Linked DNA regions of Lonchura striata. The protein of the gene in region 1 interacts with the protein of each later gene in a pairwise test. Links are inferred from orthologs where the notes say so. Each region holds a gene or a part of one and is shown on either strand. Other genes may lie near its edges. The genes, in order: thioredoxin and FST.

Region 1 (8,094 bases):
TCTGCTACCCAAGGAAGAACAGAGGCTGAGAGCATGGAGGAGATGACTGAGTTTGAGACACTTAAGGCAAATACATGTGTTTGTCTTGACATGAGGCCTGAAGTGTCTCGATAACAGAGAGTGCATATAAGCATTCCCATGTTCACAGACCTCCTGTCAGGGTACCTTCCTTTGTGGAGACCCACAACATGGCATAAACCCAGGTGAGCTCACAGAAGCTTTCTTTAAAAAACAGGTTCCTTCTAATACAAGTCCAAAAAGTAGTAGCTTCATCAGTTCTGGACTGTTTTGAAATTCTTTTCTCCAAAGATTCAAAAATGAAGCAAAAATGAGGGAAGGGAACATGTATGTAAGGGAAGTGACTTGGATGTTTTCTTGATTCTCAGAAGGGCTTTGTTAACCAACATACCCCCATGGTAAGGGGAGATGAACTGCGGTCAAGATCTTTATTTCCCTTTTTTTCCCCCACATTTTACTCAGCTTCTCTCTTTTTTAATCATACATGCTACACCAAGCATTCAAAAGACTCTAGGCAATTACATCTGCAGTACATCAGCCTGCAAGAGAGAAAGAAGTATGTTTCCTCTGTGACTTATGCTGGCACAACACCAAGCACACCTATCCAATTATTAAACATTTATTGCACCTTTAATACATGAGTTACAAAAGCAAAATCCTCCAGAAGGGCAGGCTGGAAGGAAAGGGAAAGTACAATTAAAGGTTGCTGCCCTGTTGCAATGTCAGGGCCAGATGTTACACTCTCAATTTACATTGCAAGACAATGGCAAATAACCTGGCCTTCCTATGGTAAAATCTGATGCTCCTATGGCTGGAGTTGTTGCCTCTAGCAGCTGCCTCATTTCTGCAGCTGGATGCACCATTTTGTAATGTTGGACATGACTGACCATCTGTGCCATGGCTGTAGTATTATTATCCTTGTAGCTGTGCCTTTTATTGAATGACACATTTGAGAGGTCAGGACACTTAAGAGTGGTTTTAGGAGACAGAAGTTTTTCTTAGATATGCTCATGGATGTGCAGTTGCAGACCTACAGCCTACCTTGGGTCTCACCACGCCATGGCATTCCTCCATCCACCAACATGCACTGGCATACAAAGAAAAGAAAAAGCAAGCCCTGGAAAGGTAATTCATGGTCCCAAAGCCTTTAAACTACAGATCTGGAAAGCCATGTGGAGCTGGGGGGGCATCACACCGGGACCGTGTGTCACAGCTCTGGCTCATTCATCCAGAGGGACACCATGATTTACAACCTGCCTTGCTGGTCATCCTGTCAGGGATTACTGCTGCTCACCTTTTCTACCCTCCTTCCCACCTCTCCCAGCAGCTCAGAAGGAACTGAAACTGTAATTTGCTCAGCCTCCCAAAACCCTACTGCATGTCAGACCCTGAGCACACCCCGAGTTCACCTCCAGGGTGAAGCTCTTTCCTACTGCTGGCCCATGTTGCTCTCACCTAACAGGTGACATCAAACAACACAAACAAAGCCCAAAAAATAAAGGATGCCTTCCACCACAGGAGCTTTAAAGGTGACTAAAACAACACAAATTGAATTCCCACCTGGATGTTTGTGATGACTGTGGCATAGCATGAGCTCTCCAAAAATACAGTCCTTTTTACTGGCCTACACCTAAGTGGTACTGATTAATTCACTTGAGGGCACCTAAATTTAGACCTTCTGACTTCCTCTCCCACATGTTTTGCACACATCCAAGGAGCGTGGCAAAGATATACTCAGTTATAGTGCATGGGTGGCTCAGTCATTTCTCTATGTCTCCAGACTTTCTGCAAGAGAAACTATCTAGGGACTAATTTTTGAAAGTTACATTGCCTTTTCACTCTGCCCCTCCTCAGACCACATTTTCTGACTTCCAGAAGCAAGCAAACACACCCTCCTGAATGTCTTTAAGTGCTTCCTCATTCTCTGTCAGCCCAGATTTGCAAAGAGCCATCTACTGGCCACCGTCCTACCCAGTGACTCCTGGGTATGACACATCATACAGCAGTCTGCTGAATCATGAAATTCACGTGATTTTCAACTTCTCCACAGCCAACTTGCATATTTTTAACATCCACTCTCCAGCAGCCTGGGGGAGAGAAGTATGTTGCATTTGTGGTTGTGAGGAAAGTGGGTGGGAGTGAGGGCACCTGAGAAGCTGAGGCTCCTATGGATGAGTGACTGTGTACATGGGACAGCCACAGCATTGCTGAGCTAAACAATGAGATATTCCACAGTTTAAAAAAACAAAACACCCATTTAGAGGATACACATTGCTCTGTAGCATTTTTATTATGTGCTGTCATGATAGTAATTACAACAATTTAAGAATCAAGCACAGATCACATATATTATATTACTGTCCAGTTATTTTAGGCATCCATACAACAATCATACAGCAACATTTTGAACTTCAAACTGCTGTATGCCTAAGCCTGTTAAGTCAAGTGACTGTGAGCACAGCAAGAGATGAGTGGCCACATATGGCACCTAAGAAAAGACACACTTTTCCTTCTAGTTTAGAGAGGGTTTACCCACCCACACTTGCCTTTAGAAGGCTGTTGGTTTCTAAGAATTTATTGTTTGGGTGGGTTGTTCCCTGCATTTGCTTGCACTGGCTTCTGCAAGAGCCACATAATGCTTGGCTGAGGTGGGGAATTCAGGAGTTGGACTTTGAAAGTAGTCTGGGCTTCTTAATTTATCCTGCCAGGCCGCAGGTTGTAGAGAAAGGTGCCTTGGCTGATGAGGAATTCCTGCTTTCTTCTGAGCAGCAGCTGCACCTCCCCAAAGCAGCACAGGACACATGTACCAGTTGTGTTTGTCAGCCACAAGGCACATGGACACAAGGGCAGCAGGGACCAGCTGGAGGAAGCTGGATGAAAATACAAAAGCCAACAGAAACCACTAAGCCTTCATGGTGCTGCTTCTCACCCACTGGCATCCTGGCTCCTCTAGTGATGCTGCCAAAGAAAAAAAAGGAGATGCTCATGGTATCTAACAGGTGGGGGAAGAAGCAGAAAGAGCAGCAATCAAAGTGTTTCAGGCAGACAAAACCTATCAGGTCTGGAAAGATATAGACAGGGGATGCAACCATAGGGCCAGAAAAGAGCTTACTAGTTTTCCTGCAGTAGTATGACACACACTTAATAAACTTCCAAAATAAAAAATTACTTACTCAGTTTCTACCACAAGTAAAGCAACATATGAGGGCATATCCTGTTGGGATGGGTTGGTACCTGTATCCAAGGCAAACTGTCTTTTGTTTTCTTTTTCTTTTCAAGAAAGAACTGTATTTCTTTTTTTATCCAGGACCTGCACTAAGTCTTCTCACCTTCTGCTCAGGTGTATCCCAGAGCAAACTTTCACAGGCTGCTAACCCAGCTGCTAAAACCTGCAGAAACAGCCCGTTCGTGACACAGCTGGCACCAATATCCCAACACCTAACCTTTCCTGGGTCCCGTGCAGTAGGAACTGGAGTCAGCAACGTCCAGAGTCCAACATTAAACCCTACCAGCCCAACAGAAGGAGAACAGGGCTGTGGCAGGCCTGTTTTGCACTGTGGGGTGAGCTGTGGCACAGCTTGCGATGAAACAAGGGACGTCTCCAAAACACAGAGAAAAAAACCAAGATGGATGGAACTTGTAGGTTCCACCAGAGAACCCCCTCGGATGGGAACGCTAAGCTATTCCCTTGAGGAGTCTTTCTGGCTGAGTCCCTGCATGAGGGGAGCTACGGGAGGCGGTCAGAGTTTAACCCCGGGTTAAACACCGCAGCCTTCCGCGCTGCACAAGGGCCCACATCCCACAGAGCAAGGGCGCCACTCCCTGCTTTTGGTGGTGGGAAGGAAAACAACAAGGGAAAAAAAGTAACAAGGAAAAAAATATTCCCGTCATTTATTCCTGCCTTCCACTCTGCCCGCATTACGGGCAACACCAGCTCCCTTTCTCGTAAGGCGAGCAAAACGCCGCGTCAGACAGAGCCGCTCCCCGCGGGGACGTGATGGGGGGGGGGGGGGGGGGAGGGGGAGGGGCCAAGCAACTTCCTGCTCATCGTTACACAGCACTTTTCCAACCTCCTTGGGCTTTCTTTCTTCCGCTGCTGCTGCCGGTTCCCCCGGCAGCCGGCAGGGACGCACGCTCCCCTCCCGGGCCGCCGCCCCTCAGCGGGGCCCCAGCGGCGCCGCGGGCAGCGGCAGCGCCAGGAGGCGGGTCGCCCCTGCGCATGCGCGGCGCGGCGCCGTGCTGGGCATAAAAGGGCGGCCGGGGCGGGCCGGAGACGCGCTGGGACGGCGGGAGGCAAGGCGGGAAGCTGAGCCTTGTGTGGCGACGAATCCCTTGGTTCCTTGCCTTTACAGCACCGACTCTCCTTTCCCACCGTCGCCGCCATGGTGAAGATCGTGAGCAGCCTGGTGAGCCCGATGGGCGAGGCGGTCGTGTCGTTTCGCCGTGAGAGCGGCGCCCGGCGGGACGAGCATCATCGCCCGGCGGGCGGGCGGGCGGGCGGGGATTAGCAGTGCCCGGCGCGGTTTGGCCGGCGGGGGATCGTGCTCGGGCTGCCCCGGGCCCTCGAGGGCCCGCGGGAGATGGCGGCTGCGAGCCCGTGTGCTGCCCGGGCAGGCGGAGCCTGCTTCGCCCATGCGGCGCGGCCGGGGGAAGCCGCGCGGAGGGCTCGGCCGGGGCAGGGTTGGGAACTAATAACTGCGGACCTGAGGCTTCGGGGAGTCGGAGTGAGCGGGGACGTGATGCAGTCTCGCCTTATGACGGGCTGTTCATCGCTCTTTTAAGGAAAAGGTTTCGTTTCTCAAGCGGATAGCAGGGCACTACAGCGACAGGCGGAGAGAACGCAGTCTTAAGCTGCGTCAAAGGAGGTTTAGGTTGGACATAAGGATGAATTTCTTAAAAGACAGGGTGATTTGGCGTTGGGGTACGCTTCACAGGGAAGTGGTTGAGTCACTGTCCTCGCAGATGTTTAAAGAACTCGACATGGCGCTGAGTGCCATGGTCTGGTTGACAGTGTGGTGTTGGGTCACATCTCGGACTCGATGATCTCGGGGGTCTTTTCCAACCTAACTGATTTTGTGATATAGTATCTTGATTTGGCAGTTCTGATTTGTTTTATGTACTGCTAGTGTGTAGGGGACTAGGTGGCTTTCTTAGAGTTTGGCCTGTTGCACTTCTGGGGAGGACATCGTGCAAGAGTTCATCCATTCTTGACTTGAAAGGAACTGCTAGAGCCCATTCCCCGTGCTTAAACAGCAGGAGTTGCTGGCATAAGAAGTATTTCCCTTGTTATGGTGCTGTCTGTTGTATTCACAACCCTAATGCAGCACATCACTGTTTGGATGATTCTGTGAATACAAACACATCTGTGGCTCTGAGATAGAAAGTAGTAATAAAGCCTAGACACATGGAGAATATCCTGCTGGTGATGAAATAGTATGTGGTTTTGTGCACAGCAGCTGATCTGGTTGATAGACAACAATAGAGTACTTGTTAGCTGTAACTTAGGAACCCAAGTCTCGAAAAATATTCTCCATGCAAACTTAGCAAGTTCTTAATTTCAGGAAAAATCCTGTTGGGCTAGTCTCACCCTTTTGAACTTGGAATCTGGTGCAAATGTCAGTTTGATCTCATTTTTGAGGCATCTGCAAGTGATGGTGTGTGGGTATCCTGTAAGGCCCCAAAAAGTCGCTCAGCAAGATCTTTAACAGGGCTTACAGTTAACAGGTCTTTGACAGGGCTCATTTACTCTGAGTTAGACACGGGAGAAATACTGTCAAGATATTCTCAAGAGGTCAAAAAAGACTTTACTGGCAACTTTAGAAAATCAAAGAACTTTGGCAAAAGGTTTTGTGTAACATTCAGTTAACATAAAACACTTCCCAAAGCATTAACTTAGCCCATTCAACTTGGCAAGCTCTAAACGTGTTTGATTTCAAGTCACTCAAAAATTATGAGAGGAGAGACTTAGAAGAAAAAGATAGAAGAGATATTAAAAAGGGCACATACAGCTACTAACTGCTGGGTTCTAGCAGTGTTCAGCTGATAGAAATTCCAAGAGGAGGCAGGGTCAAGACATATGCTTGCAGCATGTTTGGCCTTAAGTGCCCCTTGCCTATAGCGTGCCCATGGTTGGTGGTCACTGTCTGGGAGAAAGGCTCTAGGGATGCGGGTGTGCACTGCCTCACCAGAGCAAGGTCTGATCTGCCCCTTCCCCCACACATTTGCACCTCAAAATGTTTTGAGACCTCAGTCTTTCCAGTCTCTCAAACATCCAAGTTTGTTTTCTAGGCCGTGCTCTTCTACAGTCAGTTCGCTTTATATATGAAAGGCATGTCAAACCTCTCCCACTGGACCGCAAATTGTTGGAATCTGATACATAAATATACAAATTAACACTTGTGACCACAGCTCAAAAGCAGGTGAATGCACAAACCTCCTTAAGAGGAATGAAATGCCTTACCATTTCAGGTTCTGAAGAGAGAATGGTGTGTGACTACAACCTAGAATTGTTCTGCTTTGTATCTCTTCCCCCTTCTCTGTCTATGGTGCCACAGAAGGGGCAAACTTTTGGTGTAAGGGTGTAACAGATTAAACATGGCAAGTCAAACCTGGCTCTGGAGGAGGAGCCTACTCTTTAGGCAGGCTTTCACTATCCTCCTAGCTATGAGTGTTGTTTAACAGTCTGCTGTAGCTAAAGCGAACTTTGGTTTTGCATTCATGGACAGTGTGAACTCGGCAGTCATGCTGACAACAGCATTTTAACCTCGGTGACACCCAGAGTATTCAAGTGCAGTGCAGCTGGGATTTCTGGATTAATTCTGGTTTTCAGTAAAGCAGGTTTGTATTATTCTCTGATACAAAGGGTAAAAACCCATTCTTGCACTGTCTGCAAGAGCTTCTATGAGTGAGAGCTAGGTAGGTGTGGCCCTTTTCCCTGCACACCTCCTCAGAAGGAGACTGGCTTCTGAAGAATGTCTACTTTCAGGGTGCCTGACTGTTCCTTCTGTAGTACCTGCTATAGCACAGAAGGAGATGTATTGTTACTGTTTTTTAGTGGCCTTGAGGTGAGTGACTAGTGTAATTTGTAAGAGGGTTTGACTATGGGACATACTGCTTTTTATAGCCAAAGCTAATGGGGTGTATAAAATTAAAAAGCTGCCAAAGCTTTTCTCTTCATTCTAGCTGCCTCTCTTGTTATTTAAGTTAAAGAAGATGCTGAAAAATTGCAGCTTTTGCTGTAAGTGATAATTTTAGAGGTGGTGTGTGCTAGGGAGTTCAGGCAGTTGAACCTTTGCTTTGTTTATGCTAGCTTCTGTATTTTAAAAAACCTCTCTAGATTACATTGGCACTCAGCCGATGACTGGGTGAATTCAAGGGTGACTTGAGAAAATAATGTTTACAACCAAGCTGTAATCAAATATGCCAGATAGTGTGGACCTATATTATCTGTTGCTGAGAGCAGCAGACTCCTTTCAGCACCATCTGAAGGAGGCCAGCAGCCTCCTTTTTGAAGCACTACCTGGTGCTGGGAACCTCTGAGGCAGTAGAGGCTTTCATTATTAGAGCTTCTTATTTGGCCCTAGGGAACAGATGCCTGCTACCAATGTGTTTGTTGAAGGTACCAAGTTTCTTTTCTGCTGGACAACAATACAAGTAAAATGAGGTCTTGTGTTCAGGGAGATTGTAGTTAAATATTTAAGGAAAAAAAAAAACAACCAAACAACAATAAAAAAACCACCACCACAAGGAACCAACCAATATTGACCATCATGCTAGCTGAGGTTTCCCCCAGTGTGCTGTTACCCAGAGAAAATGCTGCTTAACAAAGCTGTAAGATCCTTTCAAAGTGTGACAAATAGCACTGTGATGGGAGGTTCCCCTTCTGGTAACAGAGATTATTTAGTTTTTCATAAGAAATCTTGTCACTTTACAGTTAACATGAAACAGAACTAGTGAAGTCAGTTGGACAGGTCAAGCAGCTTGTTTTTTGTTTTGTTCCTGCTACTGTCTTCCTTCCTCCTGGGAAATTAAGCTGACTAGAAAAATTCAGAATTTCTCACTAGTTCGATACTTTTT
Region 2 (9,112 bases), about 29 Mb from region 1:
AGACAGAAACAAAGTGATTAGTAGAAGATACTAGGACCCCAGTGATGAGTGTACAGGTGACAACAAGAACAAATGGCCATATAAAAGCCTTCAGCAGCTCTCCTCGTTTAAGGGCTGCTGGATGATGCCTTCATATCTCAGGGTAGCTGTGTGAACAAAAGTGCTGCCAGACTATGGGGAGCTTTGGTTCAACTACATCCTTGTCTGCTGAGCACGGTCTAGTTACTCTCTCCCAGCCTGGTTCCTATGAGGAAGTACACCCAATATCTCCTTCCTACTCTCAGACAGAAACCCTTTGGCATTTGAGGGAGATTGGATTAGATTTGCAAACCTACTTTTGCATTTGCCCTGATACTGGACTTCAAGTTCAGGCTGTTCTTTACATCTGGCTTTGAGAAGGGCGCACTCGTTCCTGTAGGTTTTCCCATCTAAGCCACACACGGGACCCTTCCAAGTGATATTAGAGCAATCCGGAGCACAAACACACCGAGGTTTGTTCTTCTTGTTCATTTTACATTTCTTCCCGGGTCCACAGTCCACATTCTCGCATGTTTCTGATGGAAGGAAAGAGGCACCACTTTAGTACCAAGTGTGCAGAAGAGACCTGGTGTCAAAACTGCTTAAAGAAAGAAAGATACCGTGAACCCAGAGCACAGAGCAAAAACACCGTTCCCTCCCGTTCCAGGACACGCCGCTGGAGGTAAATTCCCTCCCGCCAGTGAAGGCAGGGGGGAGAGAGGGTCTCTCCCATCCTCCTTGTGAAGTGCAAGGCGGCAGGCAGAAATGGGGGGTCCCCCCCCACGATCCCGGGGCTGGTACGAGACGTCCCTCAAAATCCCGACGAGGAAGGAAGCAAGAGAACAGGGCTGCCCCCCCACAACTCCCTCCCCGCTCCTCCTCCCCCTGCCGGAGCCGCTCCTCAGCGGGGAGCAGCTCGCCAGCACCCCCTCACCTTTGCATGGGATGCAGTTTGGGGCTCCCCCATTAAAAATCATCCACTTAAAAAGCGTATTGTCGTTGACGTCCTCCGCCGTCCACGACGTGGTCAGGCGGCCGCTCTTGCAGCACTCCTCCTTGCTGAGGTCGGTTTTGTAGAGGACCTGGCAGCGCCCGTTCCGCGCCTGGCGGAGCCAGCAGTTCCCAGCTGTGGGGCGGGGGGCGGGGGGGACACCCAGACGGATCAGTGGCGGCCACCAATGACCCAGACACAGCACGTGCGCCTTGCCGTGACTTTTACTAGACTGCTTCCTTTTATTTGTCCCGTTTCATAACCCGCAGCTACTACGGCCCATTTGGAAGCGCAGTTTAAAAAACAAACAAACCCTCCCCCCCCCCCACCAAAACCCAACCGAACAAAAAAATCCTCCCTAAAACCACAAAAGAACTAAAAAACCCAAACCAAGAAAACAAAACAAAGTCCAAAACAAAACAAAACAAAATGAACGAAAGAGAAGACCGAACCAAAACAGAGCTAGAGTTTTTGGAGGTATTTATTCCATATGTAGAGCAGAAGGAGCACTGCCGACACGTGACAGAGGCTTGAAAAGGATGTGCATTTAAAAGGGAATAAAAAGAAAATCGCGCTTGCAAATTCCTTCCTCCTCCCCCTGCCCTCTCCTCCTCACCGCGGCTGCACAACAGCATTGTTTTAGTGCTGCACAGTTTCACTCCCAGCCCATTTTGCAATCTGCACGAATTTGGAACATTTGCTGTTAGCGAAGTCTTTCGAAATCGCCACATTTTGCTGTTTCTATTAACAAATGTCTCCTTCACTAACATAATTCAGCAGAGTTCCAAAAAAAAAAAAGTGGGCAAAGTACATAAAATACAAGGACACTTATAGTAGGAGGTCCCTATAGAGTTTTAAAAATCGATCAAGCTGGCAAAGTTATAGGTTCCATCTCTCCTGCAAACATTTCAGAGGAAAGTACACTGTCCTTACACAGGATAGAGTGGGTTTTCTTGGGGTTATTTTTTGTCTTCCTCCCCCCCCCCCCCCCCCCCGCCCCCCCGCCCCCCCCCGTATCCCTGTTATTTGTGGAGTCCAGCCAAGAACATTGGTCCAAGCAACTCCCCCTTTTTTAGCTGAAGCATTTTAGTTGAGATGGGTCTCCCGTGAATAACCAATGTGACTTCTCCAGCAACTCAATACCAATTGACTCTCCCGCTAATCCAGCCAGGGCTCGATCCTTCCTCCTTACTCCGATAGGAATGTACCGCAGCGCGGGGTGAGGATCGGCCACAGCAGAGATGTTGCTGAGCGCGGGGGAAGACACCCCCCCCCCCCCCCCCACCCCGCTAAAAATCATTAAATCATTGAACAAACAATGCCCTTATTAAAAAAATAAAAAGTTTTATGTCTTACAGTTGGCTAGGTTAGATTAATTATCGGTACTGGGGAAGAGAAAAAGAAAAGAAAGAATTATAAAAGAAGCAATGCCAAGACGTCCAGGTTGGAACATGGTCAAGAATAGGGGAAAAGCCCACAAACTAAAGATCAATATTCCCTTGTGTCGAAAGAGGGCTCTTAAGAGTTGTCAATATCAGATTCGGGTTTGTTTTGTTCACACGAGGAAAAAAAAAAAAAAAAAACCACACCAAAAAAAACCCCAAAAAACCACCACCAACTCACCAACTTATTTAAGCATACTCTTCAGTGCAGGAGAATTTACAACGTTAATATTTACTCAGACACACACTCAAAAAAAAAAAAAAAAAAAAAAAAGAGTAGGGAGGAGGAGAAAATCCCAATATTAAAGTCAATAAAATGACCACTTATTGGTTTCTAAAAATGTCAGATGTAATCCTGGGGTTCTCCATCACCACCTCTCCTTCAGTCAGTTAGGAGAAATAAAAATCTGAACTAAATTACCAACAAACTTCGTGCATTCATTCGGGAGCCGAGACTGGGAAAGTTCCCTCACGATGCTGCTCTTCATTCACGCTCCATAATAACAATAAAAAAACAAGAAATAGCCTATCTGTCCTCTGTTCCTTTGCTGAGCAGTGCGAAGATCCGATTAAAAAGGGATCTAAATGACACCTCTGCACCTCGCTACAAAGCCCATAGTTAACTTCTGTTCTGTTGGACCTTGGAGAGAGGCGTTTAACACCGCAGCAAACTAAACCCTGCCCGAAAGACGGAAAACATTAGTAATAATAAAGAAACATATGTGCGAATAAACAGTCTGGTCTTACCCTGCACTGTGTGATCTTCCATGAAGTGGCACAGAAACATCAGGATTAAGAGCATGCCCGGGTGGATTCTCTGATTTAACATCCTCAGTATAGCAGGGAGTGAGAGAGACGCAGAGACAGCGTGAGGGGGAGTAAGGAGAGGGAGCGAGCGCTAGCCAGCCTGCTTATGATCGCTCTATTGAATGAACGTCAGGCTCTGAATGCAGTCTCTCTTTAAATCTATACGGGGGTCCTAGCTGTCTGCGGTGGGCGGTCTCCTAATGTGTGTGTGTGTCGGGGGTGGGGAGATTTAAAAAGTTCAGTGTGAATCAGGTGACATTTCCCACCTTCTGGAAACCCTCTCCAATTATCCGCTCTAGGTGCACGCATACACAGGCGCGCACCCGCGCACCCTGAGCGGCGGAGCCGCCGGCGGGGGCAGCGGCGGGAGCGGCCCCGGCCCGGCCCGGCCCGGCCCGGCCCCGGCTGCAGCCCCCGCCGCGGAGCCGCCGCGGCCGCGCAAGCGCCACGGGAGGCTGGAGACCCGCGGGGGGTCGCGGCCGCCCCAGGGGCGCCCTGGCCCCTCCGGCGGGCTGGGGGTGCTGCCGGGGCGCGGAGCGGAGCCCGCCCGGAATCGGCTCCGCGGGCGTGGTCTCAGCGCGAGGTGGCTGCGGGGGATAACATCCCACTCCCTGCACCTCCGCCGGCCGGGCGGACAGATCGCTCGGCCCAAAGAAACCCCAAACCCCGATCGACTAGCCCCAAACCTGAAAAAAACCCAAACCCCTAAAAGACAGAACCGGCTAAAAGTTTAATACCTAGGGCCGTTCCCGGGTGATAGGCTTTTCATTGGGAGAGCCCGGGAGGACGAGACGGCAACGGGGGCGACGTAGGCGGTCTCCTTTCAGAAACAGAAAGATTGCAACATCGATAATGAACTTCTAGGGCACTAGTTTATTAAGCACAGTCTGGCATTATTCTCTCCTTAGAAAAGTTGGCGGTCTCTCATTTATAACATTTTTTGGCACCGCTGAATGAAACTGAGTAGGCGATATTTCCTTTTATACAAAACGATTACTTAACGGAAAATGGTATTGTTTATTCAAAAGCTGCCTTTTAAATTTCGATTCTTTCGCTTTTCTGAGCCACCAAAGCACAACAGACTGCGAAGTATGCAGACAGGAATGCCCGGACAGTGCCGGGTCAGGGGCCGGTGCGCCGCGGCCGCCCGCGCCCTCCGCCCGGCCTTCCCCATACCCCTCCTCCCCGCTCCCGCCCCCCCACCTCCCCCTCCCGACTGCCCCCTCCCCACAACTGCAAATAACTCAGTGATAACAGATTTTTTTCCACCAACTGCAGGAGATAGTGCTAATCTTTTAATAAAAGATCCCATTACAATGGGATCTGTCTGGACAGACTATAATAGATCCAGAAATACAGCCGTGCTAATATTAGAAGACAGTTGTTTGGGTGCCTCAGGCCGGGCCCTGGTCCCGCTTTGAAAGTGGGCATGAATCACAATGTCCCTCGGTACCACCTGCGGTCACACGCATTAAGGAGCAGACTGGTAAATGATTGACCTCGCTGCGGTTTTTTTTTTGGCTGTTTTTTTTTTTTTTTAAATTATTATTATGATCCTCGTCCTCCTCGTCCTGAGCATCGCCCGGGCATTTTAAGCACTTCAGAAGCTCCGGGACTCCACATCCTTTTTAATCTTTTCCCAGATTGGTGCCACTCTCCCCCTGCCCCCCGCCCCTGCTGCCGGAGCCGCGCTCATGCGGGGTTGCGTAGTGCCCTCTAACGGCGGCGGCGCGCAGCGGCAGCGCCCGCGCCCCGGCCCGAGCCGCCCCTGGCCGCGCCGGGTTCGCGTCCCGGGCAGCGCCGGCGCCCGGCCGCAAGGTGCTGCGGGGCCGCTCCGGGGCCGCTGTGCCCGCGGGCTGCGGGCACACCCGCTGCGCAGCTCGGGCGGCAGCACAGCTCCCGCCGGGGCAGCGCTGGTGCCGGGGCTGGTCCGGGAGGAGTCCCGCGGGAGGCTCGGAGGGATCCCGGCGGTGGCGCGGGGCGCGCTGGCGGCTGCTCCCGAGCTCGGCTGGGCTCGGCCCGGCACTGCACGGCTGCCCGGAGGGCTGCGGGGTCAGGCTCACCTTCCCGTGTTCCGTTTGTGTATGTTTTTTAGTAATTGGCCAATACAGTGTTTATCCTGAAAATGTTTTCAGTTATAGAGGGGCGTTTTCAGGCCGTGTTCCTGGAAATGAAACGCAGAATGGGTCGATAAGGTTTACACATGTGCTTTATGCATGCATCATCGGGAGATCAATATGATTGCCCTGGTATGGAGATTTGTATCACACCTGTTCTCTGACATCACTTAGAAACAGCTGCTGTTTCTTTTACTGTTTCCCCCCCCCCCTTTTTTTTTTTTTAATTTTATTTTTCTTTTTTAAAATGCTAGATACTGGATTTGTGAGTAAGAACATGTCAGGGACATATTATGTAATCAGACATGATTTCTTCTTTCTCACTATGTGTGCTGCTCTTTATAACTCCCCCACCCCTTTCTGCTTTGCCAACAATCATATTTAAATTACCAAAAAAACAATAGCGTCGATCTGTAACTGAACTGTCAGGCAGCACAAGAAAAGAGTGTTGTTTTCAGTCTGACAGGTTTCACAACTTTTTTCTACCAAGAAATGTATGCATTTTAATATAGGCTTTTGGACGTGAATCCAATCTTTGCAGCTGGCCCTGATCTTAGAATAATAGAGCTTTTAAAAAAAACCCTTATATACTTACATCTCAGACTTTCAGAAAGTTCAGATTTGGTTCTCAATTTACATATTTATGTGTTCTAATATAGCAATAGCCATAGCTACAGCTACAGCAAACTCCATAATACAAAATATTAAGTGGCTGGCCTCTGAAAAAAATAGCAGCAAAATATGAAGAAGGAGGAAAAGTAATCAGCAAGTTACCTTGTCAATATGTGCTATTAATTCACACACAGATGCAGACACACACATACATACACATATGTGGAATATTAACCTTGTGATGTCAATATTAACTATGTGATGTACTAGTATTGATATTACCTTTTACGCCCTTCCCCTCACTCTGTTGCCTAACAGAAGAGTGGTTGCTGGTATCAGGAGTGGACCACCTAGGAACCCCCTCTTTGATAAGGAACATGTTTGCAATAAAATTTTTTAGGTTGTGGATAGGACTCCATGCCAAAACCGATTATTTGGAAGAGATATGGATTTTGATCAAGCGCAAATGGGAAGGTCTATCCTGGCAATCTAACATTCAAGGGAGCTAAAAAAGACTCAGACACCCTCCTGTGGTCCTGGATGCATGTATGCATCATCCCATGCAGTTTCTCACACAACTAGCCTCTCCCACTCAAATAAAGGTAGAACGTCCTCTTCTGGTAGAAGACTTGTTACCTTGCTTTGTTCCCATCTAATTGCACTGATTATCACAAAAAGAAGGGCCTGTTTCTGAAAAACTGCAATTTCATGTAGGCTCTCCTCATTTGCATCTTAGATACTAGACTGAAGGACTTTTCTGAGTACCATTGTATTGTACTATTTGAAAAGCTTTCCCTCCACTTTTTCTTTTTAAGTATGGGAGAATAATTACAGACCTTAAATAACTTTTCTGTAGAAATTTCATGTGCTATTTCTTGGAAAAATGTAGCATAAAAAATTGTATTACAAAATTTGATTTCTTGATTTGACCAAGACCTTTTGTGAAAAACAAGTAAGTTCCTGATGAAACTAAGCTCTAAAATATGTGAGCTGAATTTTAATATCAAGTATTGGCTATGTGTGCTATTCCACTGAAATTGTTCCTGCACATCAGTGAGACTATTAAACATAGAACTTGCAGTGCATGCTCTTGGGGAGTGTTGTGCTTATCGGATGAATACAGAGATGCTGAACAGTTGTTTTTTCTTTTTTTATTAAATTGACCCAAGAGGTTATGGTGGGCAATGGACTGGATAAAGAGGTAGTAGGGAACTTACCTAATAAATAACACTGGTAAAACTGTTCATTCTGGTTCACACTGCAGAAAGGTCATGTAGGCAGGTGTCATTCATGTTTTCGGTCAAATAATATTGACATATATGTGATATGAGCCAAACTGACCCCTTCCTTACCTCCCTTTGGTGGTTCAGGAAGTAGTAACAGAAATGTGTATCCCCTAACAGTTTGAAAGATACCTACCTCTTACTGGAAGTACAAACATGACAATGTCCAAAGACATTCTCTTGTCTTGTGCTGGCAGTACCACAGACCAACACAAGGAACTGCAGCAAGTCTTATTATTCAGTACCCATTGCAAACGGGATGTGGTGTGGCAAGACGAGGTTTAATGTGCCAGTGGAATGAAAACAGGTTATTAAACAAATTGCAAAATCTTTCTGGATTGTTGAAAATTTGGACAAAATTGTGAAATTCCAGTAGAAAATGGTATTGGAAAAAACTATAAGGGAACTCTTAAAAACATTAACTATCTAAGGAATCAAAATTAAAAAAATTATGAAGGAGTCTACTGATCTATTTCTTTCCTGATTTGTTGAAGAGGTGCTCCTCTGTATAGTTTCAGACAATATTAAACAACTAGAAATGTGCAATAGATCATGGAATTTCTGGGACAGGTCTTTCACCTTGTTGGGATTGTAATGTTTTCAAGAGTACCAGGAATTCAGATGTAGATTCTAAATTAATTTTTTAAAATTTAAAAAAACTGTTAAAAAGGAAAGAAAAGATAATTATTGTGGGAAACTTGCTCTTCACAGTTTTTAGGATGCTGCTACTGTAAAGAAATGCCAGAAGGACAGCACTGCTAGTTCGAGACAGCCCATTTACACATGAAGGCTTAAGAAGAGGCATGGTAGGAGGGAGCATGGAGTTTGCATAACAGTCAAGGCAGAACAGCCCCTGGAAGGCCATTTCAACCTTTGGCTGTCTGAAGTCATGTGTTAAGTGAAGGATGGCTCTTGCCCAGCTTCCTGACAGGCAAATTGCATTTTATACTTCCACAACTATTCCAAGTGAAGCTATGTCATTCTTGGTGACCAAACTTCAAATTTTTAAGTTGTAATTAGAGATGAGGAGCACAGTGCTTTCACAATGGCTAAATCAGATTATGTGTGGGTATTGTGCTTTTGAAGTCTGCAGCATTTTGTAAAGCAGACTTCAAGAGACATATAAGTTGGCAATCAGTTGCAGCTGAACCAGGTCTGGAGACTAAACCAAAGATATAATGAGGACAGACATAGTTTGTAAACAACTACTTTGAAAATTAAGTCAGTTTTTGCCATTACTTTACATTTCTTTTTGTTAGTTTTTTGTCTACTTATTAGAATTAATGTGAAGTGCATATCTGATTATTTGGAAGTGTGGAGTCACATAACTCTCTAATCCCAAAAAAGTCTGTGTTTGACTGTAGGTCCTGGATTGGAGCTTAATGGAAAAAAAAAAAAAATCACTATTAAGAATGATAGTCAACTTTGACAAGCTGAATGTAGCAACATAAAAAGGGTAATAAATGGAGAGCTTCCAGCTCAATGCATATATCTGGTGATATATGTACTGGATTGTGTTTCTAGACTAAGAGAGTAAGTGCTTGACTGCATCAAAGTTACAGGCTTGCTAAGGACAGATCATTAACTTCTTGTTGTGTGGTTTGTATTTACTTTATTGCCAATCTAGGAAGAGGATCAATTTTAGTGGCTTACTTTCAGTATTAATGGAACCAAATGGATTTTAGACTGCTGTTTAGTCAGTGCCAGCTTACTGGGACATTATCAAAATTGTCCTATATGGTACCTCTTGGTAAACTCCAAATGCTCCAAATGTCACCTTCTAGTACTGCCTTAAATGTGCTCGTCAGAATAGAAATGAATTATTGCACATTTCTAGTTGTT

What was found.
Region 2: the proteins of thioredoxin (region 1) and FST interact in binary tests that used the Homo sapiens proteins (3 or more experiments, as listed by UniProt). The link is inferred for Lonchura striata from reciprocal best matches to the Homo sapiens genes TXN and FST.

What each region holds. Positions count from the first base shown.
Region 1 is NC_134642.1:61,378,999-61,387,092, forward strand, and holds the start of thioredoxin, read left to right. Parts: upstream 1-4,261; 5' UTR 4,262-4,400; coding exon 4,401-4,424; intron 4,425-8,094. UniProt on the Homo sapiens protein: Participates in various redox reactions through the reversible oxidation of its active center dithiol to a disulfide and catalyzes dithiol-disulfide exchange reactions.
Region 2 is NC_134642.1:32,791,630-32,800,741, forward strand, and holds the start of FST (follistatin), read right to left. Parts: upstream 3,358-9,112; 5' UTR 3,281-3,357; coding exon 3,199-3,280; intron 1,145-3,198; coding exon 953-1,144; intron 555-952; coding exon 336-554; intron 1-335. UniProt on the Homo sapiens protein: Multifunctional regulatory protein whose primary function is to antagonize members of the transforming growth factor beta (TGF-beta) superfamily including activin, myostatin, GDF11 or bone morphogenetic proteins (BMPs).